Alligator mississippiensis: one gene and its partner. The protein of the gene in region 1 interacts with the protein of each later gene in a biochemical or structural test. Links are inferred from orthologs where the notes say so. Each region holds a gene or a part of one and is shown on either strand. Other genes may lie near its edges.

Region 1 (11,293 bases):
GACTTCTGAACAACAGTATTTTTAAATTCTTGTGAACAAAATAAGAGTTCAGTATTATTCTCTCAGTTTAATTAATTGCTAACACGTTACTTTGATGAGTTAATCAAACTTTTGTTTCACAGAAGGAAGAGAACTAAGATATATTTAACATGTCCAAGGCAAATTTCTTAAGAGCCTGAAACTGGAAGGGATTTCTTGAACCACAGAGTTCAGTCCCCTGCATTTGCAGTTGCTGATTTACTACAAACCCCAGCACAAATCTACAAACAACAAGCCCCAAAACACCAAGAATGGATGCAAAAGGCAAAAACAAGGGAAACAAAGGCACTGTCAATGTCCTGCCGCAACCATGACAGGAATGTGGTTAGTTAATACACGCTAAAATGATTCAAGAAGAGGTCCGTGCTCCATGCTACAGAAGAAGGCAACACTCTCACAGTGCATAGGGGAAACAAATTCCTTCCTGACCCCAAATTTGGTGACTAGTAAGACCACAAACAGAAGAGAACAACCCACATGCCAACATCTACTGGGTTTCTAAGTACCAACAGGAGTATAAGCACACCCCAATCAAAAAATTCCAGCCTTAACTGTAAACAATCCCAATGCATCAGTGAAAAGCAGCGAAAAATCCCCAAACCCAGCATTCTTCATGACAAGGGGCCAGAAAAAAAGATAAATTAAAAAATTCTTCCTGGCTCTCAGCAGATGGCTACCATCAAATACCCTGAAGCCTGGGACTGCCAAACACCTACCACACTGCAAGTTACGTCTATCCTCCAACATGGAGACTGCAGGTGACCATTAAGATTATCCTGTCACAGACAACTAACTTCATATTCTTCCTATACTAATCAAATTCCATGTTAAAACTAGTTAAAAGCTGAGCAAAAAATATAAATATAAAAATAAAACTTATCAGATGCATCAGAAAGCTCTTCCAGAAACTTATTCCACTGATGGCAAAAAACCTTGTAATTTTCAGCCTAAATGTATGTCCACACATTATATCACTGTGTATACTTTATATTTATGTAAGCTAATGTCCTAATACCAAGAATTTGTTGAAGATAATAAAACATACTTAGTATAATCCATAAACTTTACAATATATAGCCATTGTTAGAATAGTTACTGATCAAACCAACGTAAGATGGTGTCTTGCGATATTAATGATAACCCTGGATGTGTTTACTAACAAGGTAGACAATATGTAAAAGTAAATAAGAACAATACTGCCTGTGCCTTTCTCACAAGGGACTACAGATAATAGTGCATTCACCCGAACGGATCCCAGATGACTGTAAGCTGATATGCAAACAATATGTCAAGAGATCACATCTCCACTACTATGCAAATCAGAGGATGAACCAGCAACTACCACACACTGTGTTGCAACTATTATGAGCATAAGAATTGCCATTTACTAGGTCAGATAATAGGTCCATCTTGTCCAGTGTCCTGTCACACAGATGTCCCCACTTGGCACACTAGTTATTAACCTTTGCCCATCACCCCTGTCCCTGTTTTTTTTTATCATTTGTCCCAAGGAATCACTTGTTGCCTTAAACCGGGAGGATGATAGTTTACCTGGTGGGCCTAGGCCCACAATCCCCTAAGGCAGCAGTTCCCAGTGCAGTGCCCACAGGTGCCATGGCACCCCCTGAGGTTTTATTCAGGTGCCTGCATGCATTTTCATGATCAGGAAAAATCATTATTCCAACCAAAAATGCTGTCATATTGGCACCCACTGCTTTTTCTTTGACACAAACCTTGGGAACCCATGCCCTAAGGCAACAAAAAGGCATGTCACACAGGTGTCCCTCCTTGGTGCAGTTGTCACGAGCCTTTGACCTTCACTCCCATCCCTGATTTTTACCATTTGTCCCAAGCAATCGGTTATTACTTTCTCATTCACCTTCTTCTCCAAGAAGGGCTTATAGTTTCCCCATGGTGGGCACGAATCCCCAAAATAGCAAATAGGCCTGTGTCACAGGTGTCCCCCCATGGTGCACTTGTTATGAAACTTTGACCCTCACTCCCATCCCCATTTTGTTTTTCTGTTGTCACAAGTAATCAGTGATGTGCCCTCATCACCCAGGGGGGCTTATAGCTCTACTTGGCCCACTGTCCCAAATGGCATATCAAAAGGCCTGTCACACGGGTGTCTCCCCTTGGTGAACGCATTTTGAAGCTTTGACCCTCACTTCTGTCCCTGTTTTCTTTAGTTGTCCCCTGTAATCACCTGATGTGCACTTAGTGCCACTCTCTCCCAGATTAAAGTGGGCTTTTAGCTTTACTCAGTGGGCAACAGCCCGTGCCTGTGTCACACAGCGGCAGAGAGTGGATGCTGAACGGGACTATGAAGAAGGTATGACCAGGTTTTCGTTCCTCTCTCACTTGCAGCCCCCAGCATTTAAGAACCAAGAGGTTCCAATTCAGAGGCGGTACCCCCAAGTCCTGTGCTCAATAGCTCCTGATGCCCCTTTCCTCCAAGAATTTGTCCAGCCTCTTTTGAAGCTAGCTAAGCTGGCAGCTTCCTTAACACCTGGTGGCAAGGACCTCCACACTGGAAAGATGTGTTGGGTGAAAAAAGAACTTCCTTGTGTTCACTTTAAACTTACTACCTGCTAGTTTGGTTTTGTGACCCTGTTCTTCTGCAAAAGAGAGTAAAGAATAAACCGTGATTGACTTTTCTCCTTGCCATTTCGTTTTGTGCGAACCTACATCACATGTGAGTGTCCCTGTCCCCGTCCCCTGCCCCAGTCTCTCTTTCCTTAACTGAACAGGCCTCACCTCTGTAGCCTCTACTCAGATGGAAGTCCCTCCATTACCACCAACCCTCCCAGAACAATTTCAGCAACATTACCACCACCTTAAGTTTCAATGCTGAACTGCGATGAACATTTCAAAGACAAAACTGTCCTTGCCCCCCAAAAAAGGAAGAAAAAAAGAGAGAGAGAACTGCCACTTACTGCTGTAACACACCTCAAGGAGTTTATTGTGATAGCTAGGTTTCAATCCTGTTAGACAACAGGTAACACCCAAGAGCTGCGCCTTCAGCCCCCACCATACTAAAACAGTCACAGTCCAGCTTAGTAAGAGTCTAGGAGGAAGGTGCCAATACACTAAAGCCAGCAAATGCCCCCTGCACAGCATAAAAACCTCCCAATCCTCAGTCAACGCCTTTCCCTGCAGCAGCTCTTCCCCAGCACCCTGGCTCAGTGCTGCGCAGAATCCTAGAAAACATTGGTTAGAAGGGACCCAAGGAGGTCATCTCATCCCACCTCCCGCCTCAAAGCAGGACCATCCCCAATGAGATGATCCCAGCTGAGACTTTGTCTAGCCAGGTCTTCAAAATCTCCACGAATTAAAAACATCAAACTTTACAAAATTCTCACACTGCTATACTAAAAACCCAGTATACGTCCACCCAGAACAAAAACAACCCCGCCCCCCCAAAAAAAACAACCCAACCCTTTGCATACTGACTTCCATTCCACCCAGGAGAGTGCACACAACACCTCTGCCTGAAGAAGGGCGTTTGTGCCTGCAAGCTTGCAAAGAACAATTTTTTCCAACTACTGAGTTCATCTCATAAAAGATATCACATCTCCCCAAAGAACATTGTCTGCTTAAGTCCTGAGACCCACTTGGTGACAACCAAAGATCGACCAGCACTAACAATATTTATACACGGGAGGCTTGCCTGTAAAAAAATAAAACAAAATAAAATAAGTGGCATGGGTTCAGACTCAGCAAACGCTGGCACCCAGGCAGCAGGATGGGATGGGGCGGGGGAAAACTAAGTTATGGAAGGAAGGGCTGGCTGGGGAGCGAGGGGCCACAGGAGGCCTTCTCCCTCTGCCCACCCTGCCTTGAGCCAGATGCGGTGGTGAGGTCCCTTCCAACCCTCCTTCCACCGGATCCCATGAAGATGGGAAGAGCCGGCTTGGCTGGGGGATCCCCCGCCTCCCCCTTCGGCACCCCAGTGCAAACAACTTCTGCAACTCTCTTCCCCAAGTTGCTCCCCCCGGGCCCGAGGGGCGGGAAGCGCGGGGGCGAAGTTGCAGCCCGGCGCCCCGCACTCCCCTACCTGGTGCAGCGCGTCGGCGGGCAGCTGCGATGCCCTGAACAGCTCGGCCACGCCGCTGCCCCCCGCCGCCGCCTCGGGGGCCGGGCCGGGCCGGCAGCGGGCGAAGAGCTCGGCGTAGCACTGCTGCTCCGCCTCGCTCAGGGGCAGCAGGAGCGCCGGGGCCGCCGCAGCGCCCGGCTCCATGAGGGCGGCGGCGCTGCAATGCAATGCGATGCGATGCAACGGGGAAGGTGCAGCCCGCGGCACTCCCCCGCCTCCCCGCGGCTCTGCAGTGGCCGCCGCCTTCCCCGCCGGGCACGCGGCTCGGCCCGGCCCGCCACGGGGAAGCCACGGGTGGCTGGTGCCTCCCCCTGTGCCTGGTGCTTGTGCCCCCACGCTTGCAGAGAGCGATCCCTCCAGCTGACGAGCTGGTCTCACCAAAGGTGTCACATCTGCCCACTGTCTCCTGCGCATTTGTAGGCTCCCCTCCCTGCCCCTGGGCTTCAGAACAGCTTCATTGACCCCCTCTGCCGCCTGGCTTCCTCTCGTTAGGGCTTCAGGAGCTCTGAACCCCTAGGCTGTCCACATCCTGGAAAATGGGAGGAAAAACACTGTTAGACTCTCCTTCTGCCTCAGTGGTGAGGTGTATGGGGTGCGCGTGCACCCCCCCAGAGTGTCGGTGCACCCTGCCGGGCCGCGCTCCCCGCATAGGCAATGGGCAGGCAGGAGTGCCTGTGCCCCCCTGCAAGCATCAGCCAGGGAGTAGGGGTGCTGGATGAAGCACCGTGGCACTTCTGGGAACACCGCAGCCGCTTCCTGATCCGCACAATCAGCCACAGGAGGATCCCTACCCTGGGTCAGCAAGATTGGCCATGAGGGACCCCCCCCACTTCTGTCACTGACTGGTCACTGGGGGGGCACGTGCCCCCCCCTGACTACAATGGTCGCTCATGCTCTGCCTGAAGAAGGGTGTTTGTGCCCAAAAGCTTGCAAAGAACAATTTTTCCAACTATTCAGTTGGTCTAATATAAGATATCGCATCTACCCAAAGAACCTTGTCTGCTTACGTCTTTAGACCCACGCAGTGACAACCAACAACCCCAAAGATCACCCAGCACTAACTATTTATACACGGGGGTGAGACCAGCTTGCCTGTAAAAAAAGTGGCATGGGTAAAAAAAGCAAGCACTGGACCTGTCTGCACTAACCCCTGGGCTGTCCACGTTTAGAGTCCTAGAAAATGGGTGGAAATTAGTTAAACTAAATAAGATAAACTAAATGAGGGGACCTCAGGAGGTCACTCAGTCCAGCACTCTGCTCAAAGCAAGACTGCTCCCAACTAGATCACTCCAGACAAGGCTTTGGCCCAGGTCTTAAAAATCTCCAAGGATGTTGATTCCCCACCCTCCCTGGGTAGCTGGTTGCAGTGCTTTACTATCCTCCTCTTGAGAAGGTTTGTCTTAATACAGGTTTCCCTCGCTTTTTGCTATACATGTGTTCTTGGAAAACGACGCATACCTCAAATTTGCATAAAGGGAACCCACTTTCCAATGTAACAAATAGGGATATGTTCCAAGACCTCTACTGCATGGACCCCCAAGCCCATTTCTACCACTTTTACAGGACAATTTTGGTACTCACCAACAGCAGACAGTACACACAAGCACAGGGCACTATTATAATGGGGATGGCAACTACAGAAACATGTCACAAACAACAAGCGAGGAGCACAGATCCACACAGGAGAGACTATATTTTGGTTCGTGTCACTCCCACAATGCACCACACAAAGCAGCTGACTGCGGGCTTCCATCACACCGAATGCATAGGAGTGAATTTACCTCATATATAATGAATTTTTGGTATAGAGTGTCATTGCATAAGAGCAAATAAGCCCTTAGGCACTGGCAATGCGTAGGGGGTGCACGTGCACCCCCTGAGACTGGCGGTGAACCTCCTGCAAAAAGCACCGCTGACACTGCCAGCTACCCACGCCCCCAGGCCGCAGCCACCTGCAGGAGCTCACCGCTCGCTGCTGCCACACTCCCACCACTGACAGCACCGCTGCCGCCTGCAGGAGCTCGCTGCGCCCCCCCAGACTCTGGGAGCACATGGCGTTCATGCCCTTGGATACCAACGTGGCTCCTTCCCATTCCCAAAGCATCCCTGGGGTCTGTACTGTACACCCCTCCCAGGCACTCCTGTGAGATAGTATGGCAGTGCTATTCCCACTTTTCTACCTCAGGGGACTGAAACCCACACATTCAAATAAAATCTGGATAGAAACCGCTATAGGTGTTGTTACACATTTTCAAGCACTAACTTTGTAGCTGCTCTTATAGCTGCATGGTCATTTTTCCGGTGTGATGATTTGCACGTGTTGCTGGTCTAAATTTATTGCATATTTGCCCTGTTAATTGTGTGATAATTCCTTTGCAGTTGTGGCTAATCTCACTTCGCTCCTGTAGCTGGTCTAAATTTATTGTGCCATTGACCAGTCAATCCCATAATACATACAATGTATAGCAGGGGCCTGACTCTGGAGAGACAAGGTGACAAAAAGTTTGCAACAGGGAATTGGAAACAGATCTCCCAGCAGCCTCAACATAACACTTGAAGCACAAGATTAACCTTTGCCTGTCTCAGGAGGGAGGCTGACAAACTATCCCTCCCATTGGCCTCATGTCTCAGCATTTCTGAAACTCTTCTGATTTAACAGTGCTAATAAATCTTACCCAGTTCTACCACTCAAGTGCTGAGAGCAGTTTTGTGGGCACATTTGGCAGCACTGTGCCAGACAGCCTTGCAGAGCTATCACCTCCACTGTAAATAAAAACCAATGGGAGTTCCTGACAAAGAACTGATGTTTCCTCTGTCCGCTGTTTCTGTTTGGAGAGAGCATTCCTAGATCTTTACTTAAGTCAGTGTTTTAAAGCTCTCTCTTTATTAGATATATATTGTAGCCAAAATCCTTTTCACAACTGTATTGCTCATTGCCAAACATGCCACGTGAGTGCTATACATAAGAAAATTCATTAAACACTGAATGCTTAACAGAAAAATATTCCCTGGTTTGGTGGTCGTGTTAAGTATTGACACCCAATCATTCTGCACTCTGCACACAGACAACACTCCCTTTATTTCTATGAGCGTTTAGGGGTGATAATAGATCTTAATTTAAGCATACATGTAAACATTTGCAGAATCATGACCTAATTCCACTGTTGCATACATTCCTGGGACTGTCATGCTACAGGCTATTTGCAAGGCCACAGCAAACATGTTTCCATTTATCTTCTATTAGACTGCTGAGACTATCATGGGAGTAATGCCAAGCTATGTTTGCTAGGCCTTACAGGGGAATGGTGGATGGTAAATCCAGCAGGAAGGATGTCTGCAGGCCTTTGACTTTTTTATGTCAACACACAAGCATTGTAATTTTCATCCAGTGATTGTTTTTCTAGGTGTAACTCAGGGGATGAGGTATTTAACTATGAACCTAAATTAGGTGCCATTTTAGATAACCTTTACAAATGTTGATGATCTGCCTTCCAGTCAGCAATCTAATCTTCTGTTCTTAGCAACTTCCAGTGTTGGTAGTATGTGGCCCCAGACAAATAAGGATTTGTCATTTCATGCTAATCCTAGGTAAAAAGGACACCACCACTCATTTCCCCATAAATCATTAGGAGGTTAGGGAGCAAGTGATATTAAGAAAAGTATGCAGGAGATTGGTTTTTCCTTGATATTATGGCAACAATAGAATACATGTAGTAAATTCTAGCAAATTGAATATTTTAAGATCTCTTAAAATTACTAACATATCTGTCACCAACAAGCACATAAAAAGCTAAAAAACCTACTAAATAAATCCTTGCCCAATCTTTGCAATTATTTCATCTCCAAACTATCTTAACCACCTCACCTCACACAAAATTAGCCCCTTCTACTCTTCATGAATCAGACAACTTTGAACTCTTGTTATAATGTGCTGCATACAATTGGATGTTTTCTAAATGTTTGCAATGAATATTGAGGTGAGATGGTTTGTCAGTTGATATAGGGTTTTTTAGTTGACAATTATATTTAAGATTTCATAGACATTAGAGCTGGAAGGGACCTCGGAAGATCGAGTCCAGCCCCCTGCCTAAGGGTATAGTATTGAATTACTATTTTAGTGAAAGTATTTTACCGTGGTTTATATCAATCTGAAAAATCATTGTTTGTGGTATTATTTTGTTTTGCAATGAGGAAGCATAATACCTTTTTCACAGATCAGGTTTTGTAGTCAGAGTTAAGATGGCATAGGTCCATGATGATATGCTAATAAGGTTTAGACTCATCAATGGTTTATGGACTCATCACCAGGGATCCTGGTTTTCCCTGATTAAAAAAAAAATAAAAAAAAAATCACAAATTCTGTAATAAACCCCCCCAAATCCATGATTAAAATTAAAGGTCCCCCACAGTTCCCCTGGCCCTGCTTGTGCCCCTCACTCCCACCCACAGCTCCTGCTCCCCCAGCCCTGTTGAAGGGGGCCCCCAGCTCCCAGGGCTATGGGGCCAGGGGCCACGATCCACAGTCCCCTGCCCCTGGCAGGAGGTGACGGCTGCTGCAGCAGAGCAGAGCCTGGCTCCCCCCTGCTACCTGTTGCAGGCTTGACAGGGAGGGGGGATGGCTCCCCGCAGCGGCATGCACTCCCGAGCGGCAAGGGGGACCCAAGCCCCCCAAATCTGTGTGCAAGGTGGGGGCGAGCTCGGGCTGCGTACTGTGGGCTCCTGCCCTGCTGCCCTCCCTGGCGCCTCTGCAGCCTGGCGGGTGCGACCTGGTGCTGCAGGGCATAGTGTGGTCATGCAGGAAAGCTGCTTGCAGCTGAGCTCCATGCTGCCCTGGCGACGTGCCCCCTGCACACACAGCTGCAGTGAGGGCAGCAGCATGGGGTTGTGCCCCTCAAAGCTGCCACACATGCATGGGACACATCGGCAGGATAGCATAGAGCAAGCAGCTGCAAGTACCTTTTCTGTGCAGCCATGCTCTGCCCCGCAGCATCAGGTGGTGCCCATTGGGCTGCAGAGGCCCCAGGGGAGGGCAGCAGAGCAGGAGCCCACAGTGCACAGCCTGCACCCACTTCCACCCCATGCACAAATCTGGGGGACGTGGGTCCCCTCTGCCCCCGGGAGTGCACACAGCAGCGGGGAGCCAGCCTTGCCCCTCCTACCCCCCTAGACGAGCCACCCGTGGCCCTGTTCTGCTCCCTGCTTGAGCCCTGCAGCCACACATTGTGGCCCTGGGCCCCAAGCCTCAGAAACTGCCCAGCTGGGCAACACCCTGCCCAACTCCCTCCCTACCCCCCTCTCCCCAGCCGCTTACCTGCGGGAGTTGCTCTCCAGGCTTCCTGGAGCCATGGGCATATACATGCACATGGCACTCCCTGCCTGACCACCCTCCTCCTGCTCCCCCAGCCCGCTTCAGGCTGGGACTCTGCCAGCCTGCAGGGAGCTCATTGCAAAACTGCAAAATCCGTGGGTTTCTCTGGTAAAATGAGAAATCTGCGTTTGCCTCTGTTAAAAGATAAAATCCATGGTTTATTCCGTTTTTCCATGGGAAACAGAAAACCTAGATCCCTGCTCATCACAACCACCAAACAAGCAGTAATGATAAACTGTACATCCACAACTAAACCCCTGACAAGGATCAATTCTCTCTCTGGTCCTTTTCTTTATCTTCAGGCAATCAGTGGGAGAAATGGACAGAGGATGTGCACTCAAGTGCCAGTAGAAGACAAACAGCTCCCTATCTATCCTTGACCTATCACTGCACCAATACTGTTCAGCTCACATGAGAAGAAAACCTGACTGAAGCTGAAAGTGACATGGAGGAGGCTATGCTGGTGAGGACAGGAAAATACTTTCCAAAATGCAATCATTTTCAATTGAAAGTATATACTTGCAATTGGTCAAATTTAAGCTGTGTATAGGAGTGCCTCTGGATTTCTCACAGACTCCAAGGTCTCACAACTAATGTTTTTACCACCTGTAGTTGACTAGAAGATGCCATCTCATCCTGGCTGATGATGACCTGGCTTTGGATTTTTGTGCCTTAGATATCTCTTGACTTTAGTCTATAACAATGCAATATTAACAGGCTTGATGCCTTCAAGTCTTAGGAAACTCTACCGAACACAGGACACTGCAGTACATATCCCAAGCAACACTGGCTACTCTAAATATGTTGGACCTATCCTCCAATCTTTAAACTGGCTTCCAGTAGGATACTGAATCAAATTCAAGTCTCAGTTTTTATATGCCTGTCACTCTAGGGCCGAAGCCCTGGAGTTAGGCCAGCATGCAGCCCACAAGCCCCAGCAGCTGGTTCTCCCACTGCTGTGCAGCAGAGGAGAACCTTGGGGAAGCTGAGCACAGGTGCATTATGATGTGCTAAAAGGTCCTGTGATACTGGTAGGGTGGCCATCATAGAGGACAGTTCAGTTATTCTCTGTCCTCTACAAGAGGAAAATAGAGGACATAAAGGTGTCGGGTTTTGTATCAATAGAGAACCAAAGTAGCAGAAAACCAGAATGTCCTCTATGATGGCCACTGGTACAGTCCATGTGGCAGATGTGGTCCACGCAGTGGAGGGGGCCCTGTGCTGCCAACCCAGGGTGGAGCGACTGCCTGTAGTAGGGAAGGATCTTAAGGGGAGCCCTCCACAGCATGGCCCATACACTGTGTAGCCTAGTGGCTGCATGTCATTGCCACCTGTGGTCCCTGACTGTAGCATATTTGGACAGCCTGAGTTGCCAGATGTGAAGCCGGAGGCAGCATGGAGTTGTCACACCACTTCACCTGGCTCCGCGAGGCCCCCCAAAGTGTGGGGCTCAGGGTAGTTGCCCCAATTTGGCCCCCACTAGGGACAGCCCTGGTCACTGATACAGGAAGAAAAACATTCTTGGAAAAAAGTCCTAGATAGTGAAAAGAACTCACTTGGAAACTAGTGAAAATTGTGATCCTTATCACTTTCTGTTTCAAGTGCAAGGCGAATTTCTATGATGACATCTTCTTTAAAACAAAGAAACAAATAGGACCATGGTGGTGTGAAGCTAAGGTATACATCAAAGAAATCCAAGACAAAAAAACACTCCAGAATGTTAGTACATATGCCCAGAAATTAGGAAATCTGAGTTAAATTCCTCTCTTCACCCTGAGGGTATTCAAATC
Region 2 (11,242 bases), on another chromosome or scaffold:
TCCTCCTTGAGACGCTCATCGTCCTTGAGCAGAGCCACCAGCTGCTTGGCTTTCTCACGCACGTTGACCCCCTGGTCCTTGCCATCACGGTCAACGTACTGGAAGTCCTTCAGGGTCTGGATAGCGTAGATGTTCTCCTTGCACTGCTGTGCCACACGCTCTGAGCCTGTCTTGATCAGGTACTCCATTAGCGTCATGGCCTGGGTAGAGGAGGAGGGGAGTAACTCAGGGGGGTGGGGACAGGGGAAGTGCACCTGTCATGGCCTGCTTCACTTTGTCCACCATGGCCTATCCCATGCTACTACTGCCAACCCCAGCCTGCCACACACCACTACGTGCCTGCTGCAGCCCACCCCACCCCAACAGCCCACCCCAATATGCAGCTTTCATTCACCCCACTACCACCATAGCCTAGGTACCCTGTGACTCTCCCAGGTCCCCATAACAGCAATCAGAGTCCCTGCCCCACACAGGCAACCCTGGACCAGGCCACAGGGAGGCTGTAGCCATGTGGCCCAAAACCAGGCTGGGCTATGTGGCCCAAAACCATCACCCAGCCATGACACTCAGCTGGCCCCAGCACCACCTGTGCTCAGGTACAGGGTCCCACTGCCAGGGCACTCAACCTCGTAAGATGTATCTAATGATTCTGTGATCACATAACTGTAAAAGCCACATTGAAGGCAGCAAGTAGCAAGGCAGGTAGTGCCCAAAGGGCTAGAGTAGAGGGACCTAGGAGCTTTTCTTCACCTCAGGGAAGGAGATCTGGTGGGTTACAGCAACAGTGGGTTCTGGGAGCCAGGACACTTGGGATATGCACAGCTTGGGGAGGCCTGCTGGCTTAAAGCAAGCAGTTTGGGAGCCAGGACACCCAGGTTCTCTTCCAGTCTGAGAGGGGAGATGTGGGGATGGCAGGGATCCCAGATGCCCAGATTCCAGTGGCTGAAGCTGCAGCAGGGCATTACCTTGTAGACGTGGCGCCAGTTCTTGCCATGGTCATTGAGGCGTTTCCAGATCATGCTCATGATCTCAGAGAATGCAACCACGTTGTAGGTGAGGTCAGCTATCTCGGACATGAGCGAGCTAGACGGGCCCCATGGGTCATTGGATGTAGCCTCCCGCACCTTGATCTCTGCCTCTGAGTAGTTGTGCACAATATTCTTCATCTGGCGCCGAAGTGACGAAGTCGACATGGTGACAGCAGGGTGGGTCTGGCACTGGGAGACAGGCAAGTGGGGGCAGGGCCCCTCAGTCCAGCAGGGGCTTCAGAGAAGGCCTTTGTGTCTGTAGAGCTGGGGGTGAGGGCTGGGGTGGCAATGAAACTGCCGGTGTTAAAGGGGAGCTCACAGCTCCATGTCAACAGGCTGGCATGGCTACCAGTCAGGGCCACATCTGCAACAGAGAGATTGGGGGGCATCATGGACAGTGCCCACACCTGCACACCAACAGCACAGCATCCTGGGAAGCAGCAAGGAGCCAGAATGCCTAGGTTCCCACACCTCATCCAAGGCTAGTTCCCTGGTCCCAGGCCAAGCTGAGCCCTGGATCAGCAAAGGACAGTCCCACCTCTGGGACTTCTAAGTGGAATGCAGTTGCCCTTCAGGCAGCATGGGACATGGACCCAGTAGAGAACCAAGCCCCACTATGCCACAAACAGCCAGGTGCTGCCCTGGGGAGGGCAGCCAAGGGCTCCAGGATGGCTACACGTGCCCATGTCCCACCCGTCCCCAGCACGTGCAGACCCCTGAGAGATGAGTAGGGGCCACCTTCTGGGGGTAAGGGAAAGTTGCTGCAACTAGGATGCCAGGTAGGACCCACAGGACCACCCTCTGAGGAGTGAAAAGTCGAGTTTAGACCCTCACCCTTGGGAAATGGGAACAGTGACCCCCAAGTCAGCGAGTCCCAAAGAGTGTACTGTAAAAGTGGTAGAAGTGTGCCACAGGAAACAAACAGGATGAGGCCCCAGCCATGTAGGCCCTGCACAGCAGGACCAGGCCCACAGACTGGCAAGTGAACGGTGCTGCCAGTTTTAAATGCAGAAAATGAAAGTTCCCCAGGTACCAAAACTCTGAGAAACAGTGCCTCAAATGCTCCATGTGGGCACTCCAACCACAAGAGTACCCCCTTTTACATGGACACCCCTACCTCAAAGGCAGATGCATCTCAGCACTAGGCAAGGGGATCCTCCACAGGGATCCTCCAGGCAAAGGAGCCCGTGCTGAGCCAAGTCCAGCACAGTGCTGCTGCAGGAAGGAAGGAAGCCTCACAGCTCCTTGTCCCATGACTCACACCTCAGAAATGCAGAAGGCCCCCACTTCCTTCCCCTTGGGCTAGTCCTGCACCAGGAGCTTGAGACGTGAGGCATGAGAGGCTTGGACTCCATGGAAGACACTTGAATGTGCCCTCTACCAGAGCTGGGCAAAGTGCTATAAGGAAAATAGCAAGACCCCCCCCAGTGACCCCAGTAGCATCCTCTAGTGTCCATCATGGCCCTAAGCTAAAAGAGACAACCCAAAGTCCCTGAGGGGCAGCCAGCCCCCACTCACAGCCCCAGCTCAGGATGTTCCTAGTGCTGGGAAGCCCAGGTTGAAAGCAGTTAGGGCGAGGGGCTGGGAGCCACCTGGGAGAGCCCCCAACCCCACTGGATCATCTGGGCAAGTACACCCCAAGACATCAGGAGCCTAGAGAATGCAACACTCACCAGCCCCCCAGCCCCCAGGATTAATGTCATCAGCCCTGTTCTACAGAGCAGCAAACCAAAGCCCAGGAAAGCAGAAAGGATTTGTGAACAGATCTGGAAAAAGACCCCAAGCATCCTGGCTCCCAACCTCCCACCCCCTTGGGCAGATAATGGAGAAGGTAAAGGCAAGGAAAGCCCAGATTGCCAGAAGCTGAGCTGAGGAAGCGTCTGCCAGAGTTAAAGAGGAGACAAACTTAAAGCCAGGATTTCCTCACAGGCCTCAGCATCCAGATACATTCATCCCCAACTCTTACCACACAGACCCGTGCAGGAACCCATGCACCCAGAGTCCCAGCTCACATTCTCCTGGGCCAGCCATACCCAAAGGGCCAGCTACCCAAGAATTAGTAGGGCCCTATCCCAGCTGGTACTACCCAGGTCCTGAGAAAGGCAGGTATCTAAGCAGACCAGACAGGCAGCAGGTGAGGCAGGGAAACAGGGGTCTCACTGAAGAAGGGTCTTGCCTACAGCAGGTTGGCAGTGAAGGGGGAAATGGAACCCAGGCACCTTGCCCCAAGGCCATGTCTCCAGCACCTGTAACAAGCACAGGAGCTCTGCTCAGGGACACCTGCACACTCAGAGGAACCAGGACAGGAAAGGGAGACAGCCTCAAGTGTCTCCCCACTGCTGCAGGCACAGGGACCCACAGCAGTGTCTCTAAGGTGAGCCTCAGTGCCCCCCTCCTCCCCCTGCCCCCACTCTGAGGAGCAGAATCTGGCCCCTGTCCTGCCCAACTTAGTTCTGCTGGGGCAGAAACAGACAAAGCTCTGGTCAGTGGTCCTGGGAGGAGTAGAACCATGAAACTGACTCCAGTAGGAATATGGGAAGGCTCACAGATAAACTGGAGGAAAGACAGACCCTCCCAGGGGCTGAGGCACGGGCTACCTCTGGCTTGCAGATAGCATCAGGGCTACAATCTCCTCCCGAGCACCACCTGCCAGAGTCCCCCTCCCCATCACATACACACAGCTGATGCAGCTCTGGGCCAGCAAGGTCCTGCTAGGAAGCACAGACCAGTCCCTCCTGCTCACCAAGGGAGAAGGGATAACAGGCTAGACCCAAGGCAGTAGGTCCCCTCCCTCCCCCACCAGTCCCCAGCATGAGTGGGGCCACCCCAGCTGGGCCTGGCCCTGGGCAGCAGAAGCAGGTACTTGACAGCTTTTGGGAGCCTGGGAGAGGGAAGAGCTGAGGCAGGGGTCACCCTGGCTGCTGCTGCTGCCCAGCCAGTTAGTGCCACCGGGGTGGGTCACAACACCTCCCTTTCCCCTGCCGGCCCGGTGCTCCCTGGCACCCAGTAGGGTCCCGCAACCGCCCAGCCCGGGCTCCCCACGCAGGGCAGGGAAGGGCCTGATGGGTCGGAGCAGCAGCCACGGCCCCACCCGCGGACTCTGTCCCTCCGCGCAGGGCCTGGCCTCGCTCCCGGGAGGACTTTGGACTCCGGCGCAGGCTGCGCCCTGCCAGGCCCTCGCCCCGCGGCCGCACTCACCTCCCCGCCGCGGTCTGCCGGGCCAGGCCGAGCCCAGTCACCCGGACTCCTGGGTGCTGCCGCTGCCGCTGCCGCAGGCGGGGCGGGGCGGGGCCGGGGGTCTCGAGCGTCTCCCCCGCCCGCCCCGGCCCGCTCCAGCCTCAGAGCCAGCGGCGGCGGCCCCGCGCGGACATGCCCGAGACGGCGGCGGCGTTCCGCGGGCGGGCGGGTGGGTCGCGGTCGGGCCCCTCTCGCTGGGGGCCACTCTAGCCCCCCTCTATGGCCCCGGAAGCCCCGGGGCCCCTCGGCGCCACGGAAGGAGGGAAGGGGAGGGGGAAGCAACCACAGGAGGACTCCGCACCGGAAGCGGAAGGTGCCTGCCCGGCCCACTTCCGCCCTCGCTCCCTGCCCTGTCAAGCTCCCACCCCGCGCCGCGTCGTGTCAGCCTGCGCGCGCCGTTCCTTCCGGCCGCTGCCATGGAGACGGGGCGGGGCAGCAGAGCTCCACCCCCGAGCTGAGACGCCAGGCGCGAGTGCATCCGCCGAGCCTTAAGGACGCGGGAGTCTCGGTTCTCCCCGTTGGCAATCGAGGCGGAATAGGCTGCTTGGCCCGTTGACCCTGCGAACATGGCAACCTAAAAATGCGGGGGGGTAGTAGGTTTAGGTTTCAGGTGGAGGGTTGCTGCTGCCGGGTGCTGCAGGGAACGTCGGAGGCAGGGTCGTTCGGGAGAAGTGTTCATGGGCCCAGCTGCATGGGTGGGCCCTGAGCAGCGCCTGGTCCAACGGCTCTCCCCGCACTGCCCAAACCACGGGTCCAGTGAAAGGTACCCCAAGACATCCTTGGCCCTCCTCAATTGATTTCAAGCTTGGAAACAATCCATTGTCATTTGGCCCGCGCCCACCGAAGAGGCAAGGGAAAGTAGAGGAGTTCTACCTGAATCTTCAGTCCACAGTGAATGAAATACAAGACATCTGGACGTATCTGTCATCACCCATGGCAGCATTAGATCTAAATATGATCATGCTGACTACAGAAAGATGTGTAGACATGGAGTTAGCACAAGAAACAGGAACAGAAAGCATATATGAACCTTGCTGCAGGTGACTTAAGTCATGGGGTTACTGGTTTTTAGTGCAAAAGCATGCACCAAATGGCATGGATTCCACCAGAGTTGTACACAGAGTCCAACCATGATTAACCATGAGTGAAAAAAATCTTCCCTCAATGCAAGTGAAGCAACATGCAAATGACCTTCACAGAAAGCAAGTTAAAGTTGCAGAAAAACCAAAGGAGTTGAAAGAGGAAAAATCAAACTGTCAAGCAGGGGTTCTATGCAGATATCAGGAGCAGACTGAATGAAGAAGATCTGGATATCTCTTGGTTTAATACAATAATGAAAGTAAAGGTAAATGTGCAAGGACACAAGAGGAAACCCAGGAAAAAACACAATGGATATTGAAGATTACTTGGAAAATGATGGAAGGAAGGAAAAAAAGAAATCAAGAGGGAGTCATTATAGGAGTCCGCCAATGCCAGACCGCAGCCAGCAAGGCCAGCCATACCTTGTCATGTGTCCAAAGATGCATCTCAAGCCGGTCCAGAGAGGTGATACTCCCCCTCTATGCGACTTTGGTCAGGCCACAGTTGGAGTACTGTGTCCAGTACTGGGCGCCACACTTCAAAAGGGATGTGGCCAGCCTGAAGAGGGTTCAGAGGAGTGCCACCCACTTGGTGAGAGGGCAGCAGGACAGGCCGAGGAGAGACTGAAGGACCTGAACCTGTTGCAAGAGGAGGCTGAGGGGGGACCTGGTGGCTGCCTACAAGCTCATCAAGGGAGAGCAACAGCAAATAGGTAAAGCCCTTTCCTCCCCAGCACCACCTGGGGTGACGAGGAACAATGGTAATTAGCTGATGGAGAATAGGTTTAGGTTAGAGATCAGAAGGCAATATTTTACAGTTAGGGTGGCCAAAATCTGGAACCAACTTCCCAGGGAAGCGGTCCTCGCCCCTACCCTGGACAAATTCAAGAGGAGGTTGGACGATCACCTGTCTGGGGTCTTGTGAACCCAGCATTCATTCCTGCCTGTGGCAGGGGGTCAGGCTAGATGATCTGTTGAGGTCCCTCCTGACCCTAGCTACTATGAAACTATGAGACCAACAGAAAAGAATGTTGGCAGAAGCTTGCCCAAGAAAGAACAAAAGGTAAAGAATTATACCAGTGTAGCAGAAAGCCCCCTTTTCCTCTTGCCTGCGTTTGCTCTCCCCTCTTTGGATGTTTCTCTTCTACCTTTTCTTCCTTCCTCTTTCTTTCAGTATAAGATAAGGAATTGTATTTTAAAGTTTGTACGTGTGTATTTCGTATCTCCCCTTGTATTTTGGTATTTTTATCTATTTGTGTGCCATGGCATTACTCTTGTAGCTTATATTTTATACTCCTCACCTTTTAACTAAATGTGTTTAGTTTCAGAAGTAAGTTATACACTGTAACAATGTTAACAAGGGCAGGAATTAAACTGCAGCTTTCCTGTATCAGGCTGGCCCCTGAAAGACCTAGTGAATCAGTGACTGAATGCGTGTAACACAGTAGCAAGTATCAATTAACACCTAGGGAAACTGCAGATCAACCAACAGAAGAAATCAATAGGAGACAATGTAGCAACCGGGAATTCTCTATACTTCACTGTTCAAGGGCTAGAAGCCCTGGTCTGAATTAATTAACACCGGGGACCAACTTTTGGGCTGAATATCTCCAGATCGACCGCTCCCAGAGCCCTATTCAAAATTCATCAATGGACTCCCAAACCTGCACGTACTTGCGGATGACCCCAGGGGCTGACAGATGCCATCCAGTAGCCACCGAGGGGGAAGTCCCACAAGGGTCAACGACCCCTGGATTGGACAAACCTGAAAGCTGGGGAGTCACCAAAGTCTGCCAAGGACAGATAAAAAGCAGTGAAAAGTGACCCTCAGCGGCACCCTCTTGATCTCCAACTTGACCAGCACCCGACCTGTCCAGCCAGAAGGACCAGCGTGGTGATAACACCACGCTGGAAGAAGCCTTGACTGGCCATCGACGGCAGACTCCAGAGCCTGTGGGATAGGTATACCCGACTCTTGTAGCTCGCTACTGTGTGTGTGCGCACGTGTGTGGGGACCAGCCCCCAGGTTTATGATTTGACTTCATTACAGTGTTTCAATCTGCCTAATAAACCAGAATTTTAAGGATCCCGAGTTGGACATTTGTAGCCAACACCAGAAGCAATGAAAGACAATATTTTGGAAAGCTTGTGACTGCAGCTGCCAAACTCACAGGTTAAGTCACTGGAAGACTTAGGGGGGATTGAGCATCTGTAAACAGTGATACTTCCCATTGAAAGTTGAGGCAGGTAATCAATTACAAAAAGGAAGCATAAGACAGAAGTGTCACTTCAAAATCATTTTCAATAGATGAGATTTGTTAAATATCCAAGAAAGTTATCAAAATCTGCATGGCTCACCAGCTGAAATTATAAAAGAGGTACTATGGAAAAGCTGAATTTCTGAAAAATGGGAAACCACCTGAGGAGGATGGGTTCTGCCCAGAAATGTCCAGTAGAAGGCTCGTGAAATGGAAACTTCTCAACTTCCTAAAATAAGCCAGTAATCTGGAGGCGCAGCATCACCATTAGGAAGGGAAGTCAGGTACTTGCAAGACTGGAGAGAAGTAACCCTTTTGCCAATTTGCAGGCAAAGCTCTTAGCAGCAGCATCTCAAATGAAGTCCAAGTCCATTGTGACAAGAGGGGGCAGGATTTAGCAAGAGAATATTGTGGACTGATCAGGTCTTTTTCTTTAGACCTTAGAATGAAGTGCTGAAGGTAGCAGGTCAGTCTTTACTCTGTGGATTTGAGGAAGGTGTGTGATAAAACTTCACCAAGTCACTATGGAACATCTCACAGCATTATGGAATTCCACAAAAATGGTGGCTGTTGCTGAAACTCTGCATGACAATTCTGAATACAAAGAAATCAAGAGAGAGCAAATTCAATGTTAGTTTTAGAAATACAGATAAAATTAGAACAGATAAAACTAAGAATGGAGTGAGCAGGGCAGCAGCATGTAGCCTTCTGTCTCCATCCCCACTCCACCCCCCACTTGCCCACCAATCTCCCTTCAGGTGATTTTGTGCAGTGTGCTCCTGTAAATCTTGAGTATAATTTAAACTATTAACCACTATTCTGGAATAAGAGCTGTGTAAACGAACAGAACAAAATATAGTTCATTGTATTTTATCTTAATTTCTATCTCAAAGATAAGATTTTGAAGAGTATATTTTGGTTATCATATAAGCCTGAAGATCAACTGACATACAAGTACCAAATATGGGAATTTCAGTCAGTTCTGTATTAGAAAAGTAGGAGTAAATATTTAGAAATACAGATAAAATGTATCCTCTTACCCCTCTGGTTCATTCTGGCTGGTGAAAGAAGTTACAAAGCAAGAAACAAGAGGCATTTCACTGATTTAGATGGTGCCAATATCTTCCTGCAGCCTAGCAGCAAGGGAGGTATGCAAAAAACCACCATTGGTGTTCACAGAAGCTTCCAGAAAGATTGGACTCAGAATCAACATAAAGAAGACCAAGTCAATGTGTTTAAATACTGAGAACAAAGATTGTTTCACTGTTATCAACAGTGAAAAAGAGATCATGAATGTCAAAGAACGTACATATCCAGGCAGTACAATAACAGCAAGCGGAGACAATGAGAGAGATAAAGATGTCAGTCAATCAAATGTATTAAAGCCTTTCCATCACTTGGAAACATTTGGAGGACAAATCTGACAAACCTAAAAAACAAAGTGCAAGAACATTGCAGCAGTAGGAAAAGCATGTTCCTCTCCAAGCCCAAGTACCCAAAGACAGTGCCAAAGATTTGTGTAGTTATCAGAAATATTTCGTAAGGACTGCCCAAGAAGAAAATTCAGAGCATTTTGACCTGAAAGAATAACAAATGAAGAGCTACAGAAGAAATCTGGGGTACAACCTACAGCCACAGGAGTAAAAGAGCAAAGCTGGAGACCCCCAGGCCATATATGTAGCATGAAGAATTAAACCTTCCCCCACATAGTCTGGAGGTGGAAACCAGCAGGGAGAAGAAACAGATGGAAACTACAGAAATGAGGACAAGAGCAACAGGAAGGGACATGCAAGAGCATAGTTCCACCTTGAATTCTATCCTGCCATGGGACTGTACACTGGATTGTTGCTGGAAGGGAGGAGGGCGTGCGTATTACATGGTTAAGTTCAGTGGGGGTGGAGTGGAGATAGGACCGTGTAATGTTTGGGTTGTGTTCAGCATCAGACACCTGAGAGACATTTCTGCCATTGGCACCGTCTCCCACTCTGCTCATGCTGTAGGTAGTGGAGTGAGGAGTGCTCTGGGGCTCTGGATCCTTTACCTGGGGTCTGGAAAGTGCTGTGGGCATGCTGCAGCACACAATTTTGGGGACCAGCCAGGTGCCTCTCTGTGCAGTGGGATAGGTTCTGGGCCAGTCAGCTGTGCTGGAGAATCCCACTGTGGCTAAGTCCCTGTGCCCTAGGACTGGTGCCTGGCACCTAGGCCAGGCCTTACTTGCAAGAGTATCCAGCACTGGTCCTGGACAAGGCCTGGGCAGCCCATGAGTAGAGGGGGAAAGCCAAGCTTCCCTACACAGCTCCCCACCTTGGGACCCCCGCTTGCCCACCAATCTCTCTCCAGGTGATTTTGTGCAATGTGCTCCTGTCCCAGGAGGTGAATCAGTCTGAAATGCAGCACATTGTGGCCCCTGCATGAGAACCAATCACACCCAACAGAGATATGCCATTGCCACACGCTGAGCCAGTCTGTGCCCATGCATGTGCCTAGATCAGGGCCAGCACCCTTAGAGACCCATAATAGGATCTTTTGTGCACTATGCAAGGGAGTGGCAGGAGCTAAGACACTTCCAACAGTACCTGTCATGAGCACAGGGAAGTCTCAACTGGACTGAAGGGATGGCCTCTATCCAAGAGTCAGTCATTACAGGCCCCCTGCAACTTATCACAAGCACGAGTAGGCCATCCTCCTATTGTCAGGTCTCCCAGAAGCAGGGGACACAGTGGAAATACCTCTGGACCCGTCTTCCTCCCCTTTTCTATGTCACAAGTTGGTATGGATAGGGTGGTACAGGGGAGGTGGGGGTTGTGCTGCCCTGCCAAGGTGAAAGAGTATCATCTCTTACCCCCATAGGTAACAAGTTCTGTCTGATGTCAACTCTGGATGGGCGGGGGGGGAGGGGGGTTAGGCTACATAGTTGCCCCCTGGCATGATGTACCTTCAGATTTTTCGGAAAGGGCCCTGGCCTGGGGCACGGAGATGACATAGCTTAGCTATGGAAGGGTGATAGCATGGCTGAGTAGTGCCCGACAGCTAAATCCAGGGAAGGAAGCTGTTCTGAGCCTGGACCCTCTTGACACATATGCATACACCATGGTAAGAAGTGAGGGGTCTGAGCAGTGCAGAGGGACACAAACAAACATGGCACCATGACACTGAAAACAGCAAATTTATTTCCCAGAAAAAAACAAAAACCAAAACCATACAGACAACTAAGAATGAAGTGAGGAGCAGGGCTGTAGCATGTAGCCCGTCTCCCTTTCCCCCAACCTGGGGAGACCTATTCAGCCCTAAAAAGTTGTAGCCAGAAGCAGGCTTTAGTCCCTGTGGTACAGTCTCTGGCTTTGGCACCTGGGGGCAGTCTCATGGCCGGGTCATATAGACCTGTACCGCATCCAGCAGGCTCTGTGCCAGCCTGAGCACCTCTTGCTCCTTGGCAGCCGGGAAGGCCTCATTGGGAATGGTGGGTGGGTGGTGGTAGCTGGGATACTGTGTGGTGTTGCTGTCCACGCCATAGTCTCCCAGCTTATCCACCAGCCCCAGGACACCTTCCAGCTGAGGGGCATAGGCCGCCACCTTCTGGGCCAACGTGTCCAGCATGTGCCCTGGCTCAAAGGGCTCTCCGTGACTGAATGTGGCGGCA

What was found.
Region 2: the proteins of REPS2 (region 1) and EPN1 form a complex in vitro, tested with the Homo sapiens proteins (3 studies listed by BioGRID and IntAct, with this or other methods). The link is inferred for Alligator mississippiensis from reciprocal best matches to the Homo sapiens genes REPS2 and EPN1.

Annotation. Positions count from the first base shown.
Region 1 is NC_081824.1:321,556,849-321,568,141, forward strand, and holds the start of REPS2 (ralBP1-associated Eps domain-containing protein 2), read right to left. Parts: upstream 4,308-11,293; 5' UTR 4,280-4,307; coding exon 4,097-4,279; intron 1-4,096. UniProt on the Homo sapiens protein: Involved in ligand-dependent receptor mediated endocytosis of the EGF and insulin receptors as part of the Ral signaling pathway. By controlling growth factor receptors endocytosis may regulate cell survival.
Region 2 is NC_081828.1:75,103,013-75,114,254, reverse strand, and holds the start of EPN1 (epsin-1), read right to left. Parts: upstream 4,572-11,242; 5' UTR 4,227-4,571; intron 1,393-4,226; 5' UTR 1,194-1,392; coding exon 966-1,193; intron 201-965; coding exon 1-200. Other genes in the region: sacsin, read right to left, coding at 10,963-11,242. UniProt on the Homo sapiens protein: Binds to membranes enriched in phosphatidylinositol 4,5-bisphosphate (PtdIns(4,5)P2). Modifies membrane curvature and facilitates the formation of clathrin-coated invaginations. Regulates receptor-mediated endocytosis.